Mus musculus: one gene and its partners. The protein of the gene in region 3 purifies or fractionates together with the protein of the main gene of each other region. This does not show direct contact. Links are inferred from orthologs where the notes say so. Each region holds a gene or a part of one and is shown on either strand. Other genes may lie near its edges.

Region 1 (3,651 bases), on a different chromosome or scaffold from region 3:
CTTGGAAATATGACAGAATCCAGTGAGACATAGTGGTTTGAGTAGTATGCAGATTACCAGGGACAGTGTTCAAGCTCTGCTAGTATAATTTCTTCCTTTGGTAAAACTAACTCCAGTCATAGGTGAATCTGAATGGAAGAGGCTCAGCCTGGCATGTGTTTAAACTTCCTTACCAAGCCATTGAAATGGGAGTGGGGGGGGGCTTGGTAGAGAAATGTCGACATTGCATACTGAGAATAACTTGTTAGTCTCCTGGCCTCATCACCACTAATAGATTTAAGAACTTTAGGGTAGATTAATTATATATTTATAGTAACTGTAAGTAATGCATGTTTATAGTTTTATAACTTATGTAACTAATTTGATGTATTTTTCTTTCTTCTAGTGCAGAACGCTTTTTGGAGCAGCCCGAGATACACACGTAAGATGGGTTATTTATTTATTTCTTGTAGCTCTGGGATCTGTCTAATCTCAGAGCATCATGCATGCTAGGGAAATAGTCTACTGCTGACACTTATCCCCAGCCAAAGATTTTATTGGGGGAGGGGGGAATTCTGTTAATTTTGATTCCAATTTCTAGTTGCTCCATTATTTTTTGTTGTTGTTGTTGTTTTTTTGTTTTTGTTTTTCAAGACAGGGTTTCTCTGTGTAGCCCTGGCTGTCCTGGTACTCACTTTGTAGACCAGGCTGGCCTCGAACTCAGAAATCCACCTGCCTTTGCCTCCCAAGTGCTGGGATTAAAGGCGTGGGCCCCCACGCCCGGCCAGTTGCTCCATTATTACTTTGTTCAGCATCAGAGGTGAGAGTACAGCCCTGTATCTTATCACTGGCCTCTCAGGAAGAGAGCCTCCAAATCCTGGGACTCCCTCTCGTCTTTGACAGTTCCCAGACTCTGGGCTTTGTAGTGGCACAGAAAGGATTTTGTATCTTCAGAGGTCAGCACACTCATCAGCTCCCTCTGGTGTTTGTCACTTCATATTTAACCCCCAAATCTCTGCTTGCTGCCTTTAGAAAAGAATGCACTTAACTCCCACTGCTTAGCAACTCCGCAGGCCTTACCTGTTAATTCAGGCTCATCTGACTTATCCAGGATGTTGGCACAACTTCCATTAACATTTGTATAAACCCACAGCAGTAAAATGATTCATGAGAAAACACTGTTGATGGTAAGAGACCAGTCTAGACCTGTGTAAAATGGAGCGGCAGCATGCAAGACATGAGCTAGGTAACTAGAAAACAAGCTGGACTCTGTTGGGCCGACTTAAAGTGGATCGCTCTTCCCTTCTTTCCCTCATTCTCTCCACATATGAAATTACAGACTGGAATTATCAAGAAAACATTGAAGGGGATGTTTTGCTCTTTCTAGGGGAAGATTGTTAGTTGGTACTTTTGTGGCCCTTTCTTTCAACCTGTTCACGATGCTTTCTATTCGGAATAAGCCTTTTGCTTACGTCTCTGAAGGTATGTTATGTTTTTTTATTTGCTCATTTTAGTTTACAGTTAATTAAAAAACATTTTTATAAAAACTGGTGGTTTCTTTTTTCATAAACTTGTAAATCTGTGAGAAATATGTTTAGCAGAGAAGGAAGAGCTAGCCCAAAGGTTCTCAAGTGTTTGTTTGTTTGTTTGTTTGTTTGTTTTCTGAGACAAGGTTTCTCTTTGTAGCCTTGACTTTCTTTTCTTTTTTCTTTTTTCTTTTTTTTTAATTAATTTATTTATTATATGTAAGTACACTGAAGCTCTCTTCAGACACCCCAGAAAAGAGTCTCAGATCTCATTATGGATGGTTGTGAGCCACCATGTGGTTGTTGGGATTTGAACTCAGGACCTTTGGAAGAGAAGTCAGTGTTCTTATTCACTGAGCCATCTCTCCAGCCCTAGCCTTGACTATCTTGGAACTCACTCTGTAGACCAGGCTGGTTTTGAGCTTAGAGATCACCTGCCTCTGCCTCCTGAGTGCTGGAGTTAAAGATGTGCCTCCCTCCCCACCCTGCAAGCTAGCTACTGAAGTCTATGTGGAAGATTGTACAGATTATCATCTCGGTAGTAAACACTGAAAAGAATATATAAAAGCCAGTGCGCTGGCTTTGAACTAGGTGATATATGAACAACTACAGGTTTATCTAGGCATGGCGGCACATGCCTACAGTCCCAGAACATGAGAAGCTGAGGCAAGAGGATTGTAGTTCCAAGCCACTTTGTGCTACACAGTGGCACAGGCCAGCCACGGCTGCTTACTGAGACCCTGCCTCCAACAAAACAAATGAAAGGCGTCTCTTTTAGGCAGTTTCTCAACTTTGCCCGTATAAACTGCTGATGCTCTTCAGAGCCTTTAATGTTTGCAATCTCATTAACCGGCAAAGGATTTAGCTATTAACTCATGGGGACGTGAGTGGGTACGCAGAGCTGCCTCGACACAGGACACAGATAGATGATGTTCTGTAGGCCTCTGGACTCGAGCAGCACAGCAGACAGTGGAGAGAGCTTTCTGAGGTACTCACTCGTATCCCAGCAGTCCCACAGGTATCAGGAAGACAAAACTCTGCATCAGTCAGAAGTTCAGAGTGACAGGTGTTTACTCATCTCCCCATAGTCGCCGAAGCAAAGACTTTATTATCCTCATTTTACCCCAAGGCGTTCGGAGGTTAAGTCATTTGCCAAAGGCCACTCTCCTGGTCACAGGCTGAGCTGGAACTTGCAGGTAGATATTCTGGTGTCACTGCCTTCTCCTTAGTGCCGTGCCAGTGTTTTATAGAGAGCTTGCCGATCTCATTACAACATGGTCTTGTTATAGAATGAGTGTCAGTGATGGCGCACGCCTTTAATCCCAGCACTTGGGAGGCAGAGGCAGGTGGATTTCTGAGGCCAGCCTGGTCTACAAAGTGAGTTCCAGGACAGCCAGGGCTACACAGAGAAACCCTGCCTCGAAAAAACCAAAACCAAAACAAAAAAGAATATAGATTTGCAAGGAGAGCTGTACTGTGTGGCATAAAGGTCAGAGAACAACCTGAGTCAGTCCTTTTCTTCCACCACTTAGAGGCATCTTGCATCCCTGAAATGTGACATTAAAAGCACCGTAATGTGTAAGGTACTCACTCCTTCCAGTCAGCTATGCATCAAAGGTGAAACTGCTTCAGACTTAGTCCTTGTCATGAAAAAGGTTAAAGCTGGAGATTTGAGGAGAAAGTTTGCCCTTTGCCGTATTACATGGTCACTGCCGAACTTATTTTTAAAATGAAAGAATTTGTGTTTCCAGTGATGGTTTTATTTTTCTATATAGATAATTTAAGTATTTTCTCCTTAAAGCTGCTAGTACGAGCTGGCTTCAGGAGCACGTGGCAGACCTTAGCCGCAGGTAAGATGCGCTGCAGTTTGCTGGCTTGTGTAATTTAACGAGTCTCTCTGAGAAGAGTCTCCACCATGGGGGCTTAGATCTGCAGCTGGAGTCTTTGCACGAGCTGCTCAGGTCAGTTCTCGGTCTCTCTGGGCTTGTTAACTGATGCCAGAGGAATTCTGCACAGTGGCCAAGCTTTGTCCCCGAGTCCTCCTTGCTCTCTGAGGAGTACAGTGCCCCTCACCTGCAGTATGCTTTCACTGATGTCACGGGGATACTAATGAACTCTTTTTGGTCTTCCGCAGCTTGTGTGGCCT
Region 2 (3,751 bases), on a different chromosome or scaffold from region 3:
AATGTTTATTAGGATGTATCTAAGGATGTATCTTCAACAATATTAAGAGTTTTGGTGTATCAATTCACTCATAAACTTCTACACTTCTGCTTTTAGAAATATTATTTCCTTGATACATATTAGGCATCTTCTGTGTGTTGCTAGGAGAGTGGAATCCAGGAGCTGCTAGCACAGGTACCTTTCCACATGCTCTCTAAAAGGTCATACTTTCAGATCATCTCTGCCCACAGAGGAGGAAACCAGAAATTGGAAAGGGAAAGGTTGACCTATGCTTGCCAGTATCCTGTCCTGTTCCCTGATGTCTATCTCTGTCTCTGTAGGTGTGTATGTGTTTATTGGCTGTTCCAGACCTGTGTCTTAGGTATTCTTTGTTACGTTCTGTGTTTCAATATTCCAAAACTAAGTGATTTTGTGTGTGTGTGTGTGTGTGTGTTCGTTCAGTGGGCAAAGCACCTTTCCAAACTTGAGAGTACTAATGTTTAAAACTCAACTTCTTGTATTTGTGCAAATGACATGCTGGCTTCCTACAGATATTTAGTGATTATTGTTCTGTTATTTAAATAACAATACTAATATAAAAAAATCCACATCTGGAACTAACCTTATAATTCAGCTTTACACTTACAGCTAGTACTTGTGGAGTGACAGTGACTATGTCTTGAGCTCTCGATTTTTCTAACCCATCTTTAGTGCTGTCCTTTGGTGCTTCATTTCTCCTACCAGCTACCACACTTCCCCTTAACAACCACTAACTTGAGCAACATGGTTACCTAACTGTTATCAAACTGAACAGTCATATCGTGGCCTGCTCTAACTGACTTGAGGGTAAAAGACAGTTAAATGAAATGAGTCTTTGAGAAGATGGTCACTTGTGCCAATACAAAGTGCAAATAGTAGCTTAATGACTATACATGTGTTTGAGACAGGGTCTCAGGGTATATATTCTTGGCTGGCCTGGAACTCACAGAGATACACTGTCCTCTGCCTCCTGCGTGCTGGGATGAAAGGTGTGCACCACCATGCCTTAACTCATATTTTTAAAACCAACCTTCACTTCTGTATTAGTTAAGATAATCTTTTAAAAAAGAAAGAGTCCACGTTAGTTAGGATGTAATTTTTTTCCTATTGTAGGTCTCAGCCATTTTACATCTGACAGAAATGTATTCACATACTAAGACATTCACAAGAATGTTATAACACCCCTAAAACCTAAAACAAATAATACACAAATCTGGAAGCACACATTCATGAACAGAAGAACAATCACATCACAGAATGGCACATTACACTATAAGAAAGAATTATCAACACCATACCATGATATGAATGATATCATATCAAAAAACACGAACAGTGACTTCCACAGCAATATTCTGAGAATACTATATATTAACTCCATTAACATGAAGCTTAAAATAGTCCAAACTAATGGCTGATGAAAGAAGTCAGAACTCTTAATGGGGAAGCAGGGGTAACCTATTTGGAAGAAGCAGAGCACTATGGGAATGTTGTACAATTAAAATCTGATGTGTGTAGCAGCAGACAAGGTAAGAAGCATGTAATGATTCACAGACAGTTCATTTTCATGCATTTGTTGACGTTTTTTTATATTTTATACCACTACAAAAGGAGTGTAGATGGATAAACAGTAATTTCTTAATTATCTGAAACTAAAGCTGGTTGTTTAATATCAACACTTCTAAGCCTCATATACTGAAAACACAACACCCTTTTTATATTCTTTTAGTCACATAATTTAAAAAAGATAGTAGCAAATATTCCCGAATATTATGCCATAAAACACCTTTTTATTACTTCGGAAATCAGAGGTGCTTTTTTAAATGCACCTTTAAGAGATGGCATTAATCCCCAAGGTATTAAAGGCCCAGGGGCCTTCAGTGGCATGAACTGTCAGGACACTGCATGTACATTTCAAAAACAAGCTAAAGCACACCTTCAGATTTAATGAGGACTTAAGAAGAAAAGCGTTAGATTTGTAACCAAACTGTCATGCCGCCAATGTCATCATCACAAACACAAGTACCGCTGTGGTATTTGACAAATTACCCAGCCAGTTGCTCAGAAATGCAGGAATTTTCTAAACTATCTGGTCCTTCTGACAGTTCTCCGTTTTTGGTTTTTATCCAGGTTCCGGCGATCATCAATTCCTACTCCAAGAGCATCTTTTAAAGGGGAGCGTTTTGTCAGAGGCAGGAGGGCTGCTGCCAGTGGGCGCGTTCAACCCCACAGTAAAAAGTTTAGCCACTCAGCAGAGATGATGACGAGGAGGTTAAAAAAAAAACCTGACACGCAAACCAGCGGTCCCTGGCAGCAGCGGTCTCCAAAACGGGACCAGCCTCGGGAGGGCGCGTCAAGGAAGCGCCGCGCCCAGCGGCGTCCCGGAGGGCTCGTCCGAGGGGACCGGCCGCTGCCCAGAGGCGCGGCAGGACACGGCGGTACTCACCGCGCCCGCCGCTCAGCGTCGCCGCCTCTGGGGACCTGCACACCTGGCCAGCGCCCTGCGCGGGGCCGGCCCGGCGCGCCGCCGCGGAGCACCGCCACTTCCGGCGCGCGCGAGGAAATGAGGGAAATGAGGCTGGGTTGCTGTGGCGCGCCCGCCTCCGCGGTCAGGCCCCGCCCTCCACAGCCAGACTCCGCCCTCCAGGGCCAGACCCAGCCCACCGCAGCCGGGCTCCGCCCTCCACACTGCCAAGTCCCGCCCTCCAGGGCCAGGCCTTTCTCTTTCCAGCTAGGACACGCCTATTCCTCCCTCTTCTGTCCTGTGCCCTGCACAGAAAGCTCCACAGATGACAGTTGATTCATCTAAAAACAAACAAACAAACAACAACTGAGATGGGTGCTCAAGCCCTGTGGGATAAATAGCCTGGGAACATCATGCCTTAGAGACACTTAACTAGACACGCATGTGGCTAATCGTCACATAAGTGCTAACCTGGCAGAGCTGACTAGCGGGGAGGCTGAGGATAGCCAACATGCCTTCTGCTCAGGGAAGATCGGTACTGAACACTGAAGAGGTCCTTACGTGTTTTTACTTAAAATAAATAATTCCATTTGCTGCATGTAAAGTACCGTGTGTGTGTGTGTGTGTGTGTGTGTGTGTGTGTGTGTGTGTGTGAAGTCTAGCCTTTTCAGAAAAGCACACACTGGCAAAGTTGGAAAGAGACTGGATATGCAGTCAGCAAGCCTATCTTAGAAGTAGGTGATCCAGACCGTTAAAGTTTTCAGGATTTCCCTTGTGGCATTAGAGGAGAACATCTGGGCAGAAGATATCTCAACAACTGTCAGCCAATAGAGCCAGCTGTGGTCAGGAACAAAGTGTCTCCCTTGGACAGCTGCTTCTTTAGGACGCACCTTGAAGTCCCCTCAGACATCCATCTTCTCTAGTACAATCACAAAAGACAGTCCACGTGGGTTAGCTGCCTGCTGTCTACCAGCCACAGTCCTAAGTATGAGTGCAGGGAGGCAGGAGAATTCTCTCCTAGGAGACTTGGAACATGGGGACCTTTAGCAAATGGTTAAGTGCCCAGCACTGCTAAATTTCCAAGATAAGGCAAAAATTCTCTAATGTATTAATAAAGTAGATATAAATGGCACCTCACTGAAATCTTAGCGAGCCACGATGCCAGACTCCAGCTTTGGCACTGTTAGTCCAAGCCCACATCTACTGTGTGCCTACGTTACACTTGACATTTCATTAACAGTTTCTGAGAAGTCCCCAGAAGCCAGGTGT
Region 3 (3,651 bases):
ACCTTCTTTGAAGATGTGCTTAAAACTTTAATGCTGGAAACTGTATTTCATATAGATTATAAGTAAGCAAGCTAGCCAGATTTAGGCATTTTACAAACTAAAAGGCAGTTGTTTGATTTGTATGTCTGTCGAAATCAACAGAAGAGGCTCTAAAATGTCAGCATCAGTGGTATATCCTGACATCCTATTACGAGGCAGCTCTGCCTCTTACAAGCTACTACTGATTTAACACAGAATTTCTACAATACTGCAAAGATTGTTTGCCTTGTTTGAATAGGATCATTGTTACCAACTAGAGAAAAATGTAAACTCAGCAGAAACTTGTAAAGTACTAAAATTACACATCCTCTCAAAATAAAAACACCGTGCTTTAAAAATATAGCACTGCTATTTAACAATCTTACCAGATTCAAGCACAAGAAGTAAAAGATCTGCCTAGAGTCGCTCTCCTCGAGAACCTGCTTTAGTGAGTCCTTAATGAACCTAGGCACCGACTGAGAGCTGTGCTGAAAAGCGTCCCCCATGAAGTGATAGAGTGGTGTTCCTTCAGGAGAATATCCAATAAGGGTACCTTTCTGTCCTCTCTTAGAGGGAGATGATAGAATGTTGGCCGCTACAAAGAGAAAAAAGAGAATGGTATGCATGTTTTGAATGTTTAAGCCACCAACACGGTCACTTTCTAAATTGAGTACTAAATTGTAAGTGCTCAACAATTTCTAAACTGAAGGCTTAAACATCAGAAACCATAAAAGTAGATTAATGAAAATAAAAATTTGGGCAAATGCTTACACAAAATGAAGAACACAGCGCTCACTACCACTCCTCCAGACAGGACGTGCTCTGTGCTCTCCTGGTGTGCTGCTCTGTTCATAGCCCGGAGTTGGTCTGTTATTGGGTGTGTCCAGAAATTTCCAAACAGGAGGGCACTAATAAAAATGGGAAAGGACCCATAGCGGGCACATTTGGACACGTCCATTTTGACTGAACAAACAGAATCCATATAGAAATCCAGGATCATGACAAAAAAGATGACTGTGGTGAAAGGCATGATGAGAGAGAACCAAGACTCAACCTTACTCTAGAAGAGAAAAACACAAACACCACAACCCACAGTCAGTGTTCTACAGAGACAAAGCTCATCAGCGTATACACAAACAGAAATACTCAGGCTCAGTATGAGTCACAAAATGCCAGCATGTAAGAGTCACAAAATAGTGGTACATTTTCCCAGGGTTCTCCAGGGTATTAACAACAAACCCCCACTGTTGCTGAATTTTATAAATAATAAGTAGCCAAAATCTCTGAGTTTAAGATTAACTGAGTTTTCTTCACAGGTGCCTTTGGATCATAAGAATGTAAATTATATGCAAATATAAGAGTATTTGACTTACACTTTTATAAACAATTAAAATTAACTCCAATGGGGGGGGGGACTAAAGAAAAAGCAAGGATAATTTAAGCCATTGTCAGTCTTAGATTAAAAAAATTTGGAACTAAGCCAAGTGGTGGTGGCAGCACTTGCCTTTAGTCCCAGCACCTGGGAGGCAGAGGTTGGGGCCGCCCTGGTCTATGGAGCAAATTACAGGACAGCCAAGGCCACACAGAGAAAACCTGTCCCATAAAGCCTGAAAAAAATGTCTGAATTGAAATTTCTTTCCAATAGTAACTCACTTTACTTGTTACCAGTAACTCTCAGCCTTACCTCAGTCGTCACAGAAAGAACAATCACCCATGGGCACAGGAGAAACACAGAAACAAGCTGAGATAAGGCCTGAAGGCGCTTAGCTCCACCAACATCTATAGAGAGCTTTCTGGAAGCCGTATGAAAACCAACTTTACAACATAAAGCCAGCACCAGCAAGAGTACTCCACCCTATGAGTGAAACGACAAAAGTCTCATTAAAACCACACATACTGTCTGTCATACTCATCTCCCTACAGATTTACGTTATTTAAAATTTTGAGACGAGCCTCACTATGCAGCCACAGCTGGCTTAGAACTTGCTGTGAAGCCCAGGGTGACCTCAAACTCAGAGATCTGTCTGCCTTTCTTTGTTTCCTAATATGGAGGACTGAACCAAGGACCCTGTACATGTTAGGCAGGCACTCTACCCACTGATCTACATTCCTTGCACTGTGTTATGTGTGTGTGTATAAAATGAGTCTTTGCACGTGTGTGCACAAGCGTAAGTGCACACACCGGAGGGCAGAAGAGGCCAGAGACCTCCTGTAACTGGAGTTACCGATGGTTTTCAGGTGCTGGGAACAGGTCCTTTTTGTAAGACCAGTAAGCACTCTTAACCACTGAGCCATAGCTTCAGCCGCCATTGTTCAATTCTTGAATATATATCTGAAGCAATGGAACTATTTCCCCAGCCCCTTCCCATACCCTCAATTATTTAATTATGTAAATGACAGGCAGTGTTTTGTATTTAGTAGTAACCTTAGCATCGTAACTTTATAGTGCTAAGGATCTGTGCTGGTTTGCCCAGGACAGGAAACACTCCTATCACTGAGCTATGCACTCTGTACTTGGTAGGGCTGAGAAACAATTATGCTCTGATAAATTTTCATGTTTTAAAAGTGTCATGTGAACTGGGCGTGGTGGCACACACCTTTAATCGTAGCACTTGGAAGGCAGAGGCAGGCAGATTTCTGAGTTTGAGGCCAGCCTGGTCTACAAAGTGAGTTCCAGGACAGCCAGGGCTGCACAGAGAAACCCTGTCTCGAAAAACAAAAAAAAAAAAAAAAAAGTGTTATGTGTACAATGTTTTGTCTACATGTATGTCTGTACACCACCTGCATGCCTGGTGCACTGGTTCCCCTGGGACTAGAGTTACAGATGGTTGTGAGCTGCCATGTGGGTGCAGGGGATCAAACAAGTCCTGTGGAGAACAGCAAAAGCTCTTAACGGCTGAGCCATCTCTTCAGCCCTGAGATAAGTTAGTTTAAATATAGTTTTTGGACAGTATTGATGATGTAGCCCAGGCTGGCCTGGAATTAGAGATCCTCTTGTCTCCTCAGTGCTAGGAGTAACAGCATGTGTTAGGTATAAATGAAATTTAAGAATTATAGACTCCACTGTGATGCAGGTTTAGAGGTAAAGGTAGGAGGGTCATCTCTGGCTACGCATCAGGTTCTCGACAGCCTGGGCTACACAAGGTCCTGTCCCCTGCCGCAGACCCTATGCCTGAGTAGAAAAGAGTCTCTAGAGTAGATGGGCAAGATTAGGATGGCGTGACAGACAGCCAAACACGCGAGAATGGTGTTGGATCTGAATGTAATTTTCCAGTCGAGCATCAGACTTTTATAATACAGAATAAATTGCAGAACAAGGCACATTGAATTTTTCTAGGTGCAAAAGGAGTGACTTCAAAAGGAACCAGATAAATGTATAACACTAGAGATTAGCACAGATGCAAGGGGAGTGACTACAAAGGGAATTTGTAGGGACCAGATAAATGTTTACATTAGAGATTAGCACTTTCTGCCAGGCAAGAGTTTTACACAAAGAGTTAAAAGCCTCAGGGTAGTTAACTCTTGATACGCCTCAAGGCTAATGTAGTGTCACTGACCCCAAAATTCTCTAGGCCTTGTTAATTCTTATCTATATCTGGAGACTGCCCATTTTCAGTATAGTATACTAATTTG

Evidence for each region.
Region 1: the proteins of Slc30a5 (region 3) and Slc30a6 purify together in Homo sapiens (co-immunoprecipitation; 5 studies listed by BioGRID and IntAct, with this or other methods). This does not show direct contact. The link is inferred for Mus musculus from reciprocal best matches to the Homo sapiens genes SLC30A5 and SLC30A6.
Region 2: the proteins of Slc30a5 (region 3) and Csgalnact2 purify together in Homo sapiens (co-immunoprecipitation; 3 studies listed by BioGRID and IntAct, counting the BioPlex papers as one, with this or other methods). This does not show direct contact. The link is inferred for Mus musculus from reciprocal best matches to the Homo sapiens genes SLC30A5 and CSGALNACT2.

What each region holds. Positions count from the first base shown.
Region 1 is NC_000083.6:74,408,968-74,412,618, forward strand, and holds part of Slc30a6 (zinc transporter 6), read left to right. Parts: intron 1-385; coding exon 386-421; intron 422-1,366; coding exon 1,367-1,461; intron 1,462-3,306; coding exon 3,307-3,355; intron 3,356-3,639; coding exon 3,640-3,651. UniProt on the Homo sapiens protein: Has probably no intrinsic transporter activity but together with SLC30A5 forms a functional zinc ion:proton antiporter heterodimer, mediating zinc entry into the lumen of organelles along the secretory pathway.
Region 2 is NC_000072.6:118,136,559-118,140,309, forward strand, and holds the start of Csgalnact2 (chondroitin sulfate N-acetylgalactosaminyltransferase 2), read right to left. Parts: upstream 2,583-3,751; 5' UTR 2,465-2,582; intron 2,273-2,464; exon of another isoform or gene 2,068-2,272; intron 2,047-2,067; exon of another isoform or gene 1,955-2,046; intron 1-1,954. UniProt on the Homo sapiens protein: Transfers 1,4-N-acetylgalactosamine (GalNAc) from UDP-GalNAc to the non-reducing end of glucuronic acid (GlcUA). Required for addition of the first GalNAc to the core tetrasaccharide linker and for elongation of chondroitin chains.
Region 3 is NC_000079.6:100,812,894-100,816,544, forward strand, and holds part of Slc30a5 (zinc transporter 5), read right to left. Parts: intron 1,874-3,651; coding exon 1,703-1,873; intron 1,079-1,702; coding exon 790-1,078; intron 614-789; coding exon 405-613; intron 1-404. UniProt on the Homo sapiens protein: Together with SLC30A6 forms a functional proton-coupled zinc ion antiporter mediating zinc entry into the lumen of organelles along the secretory pathway.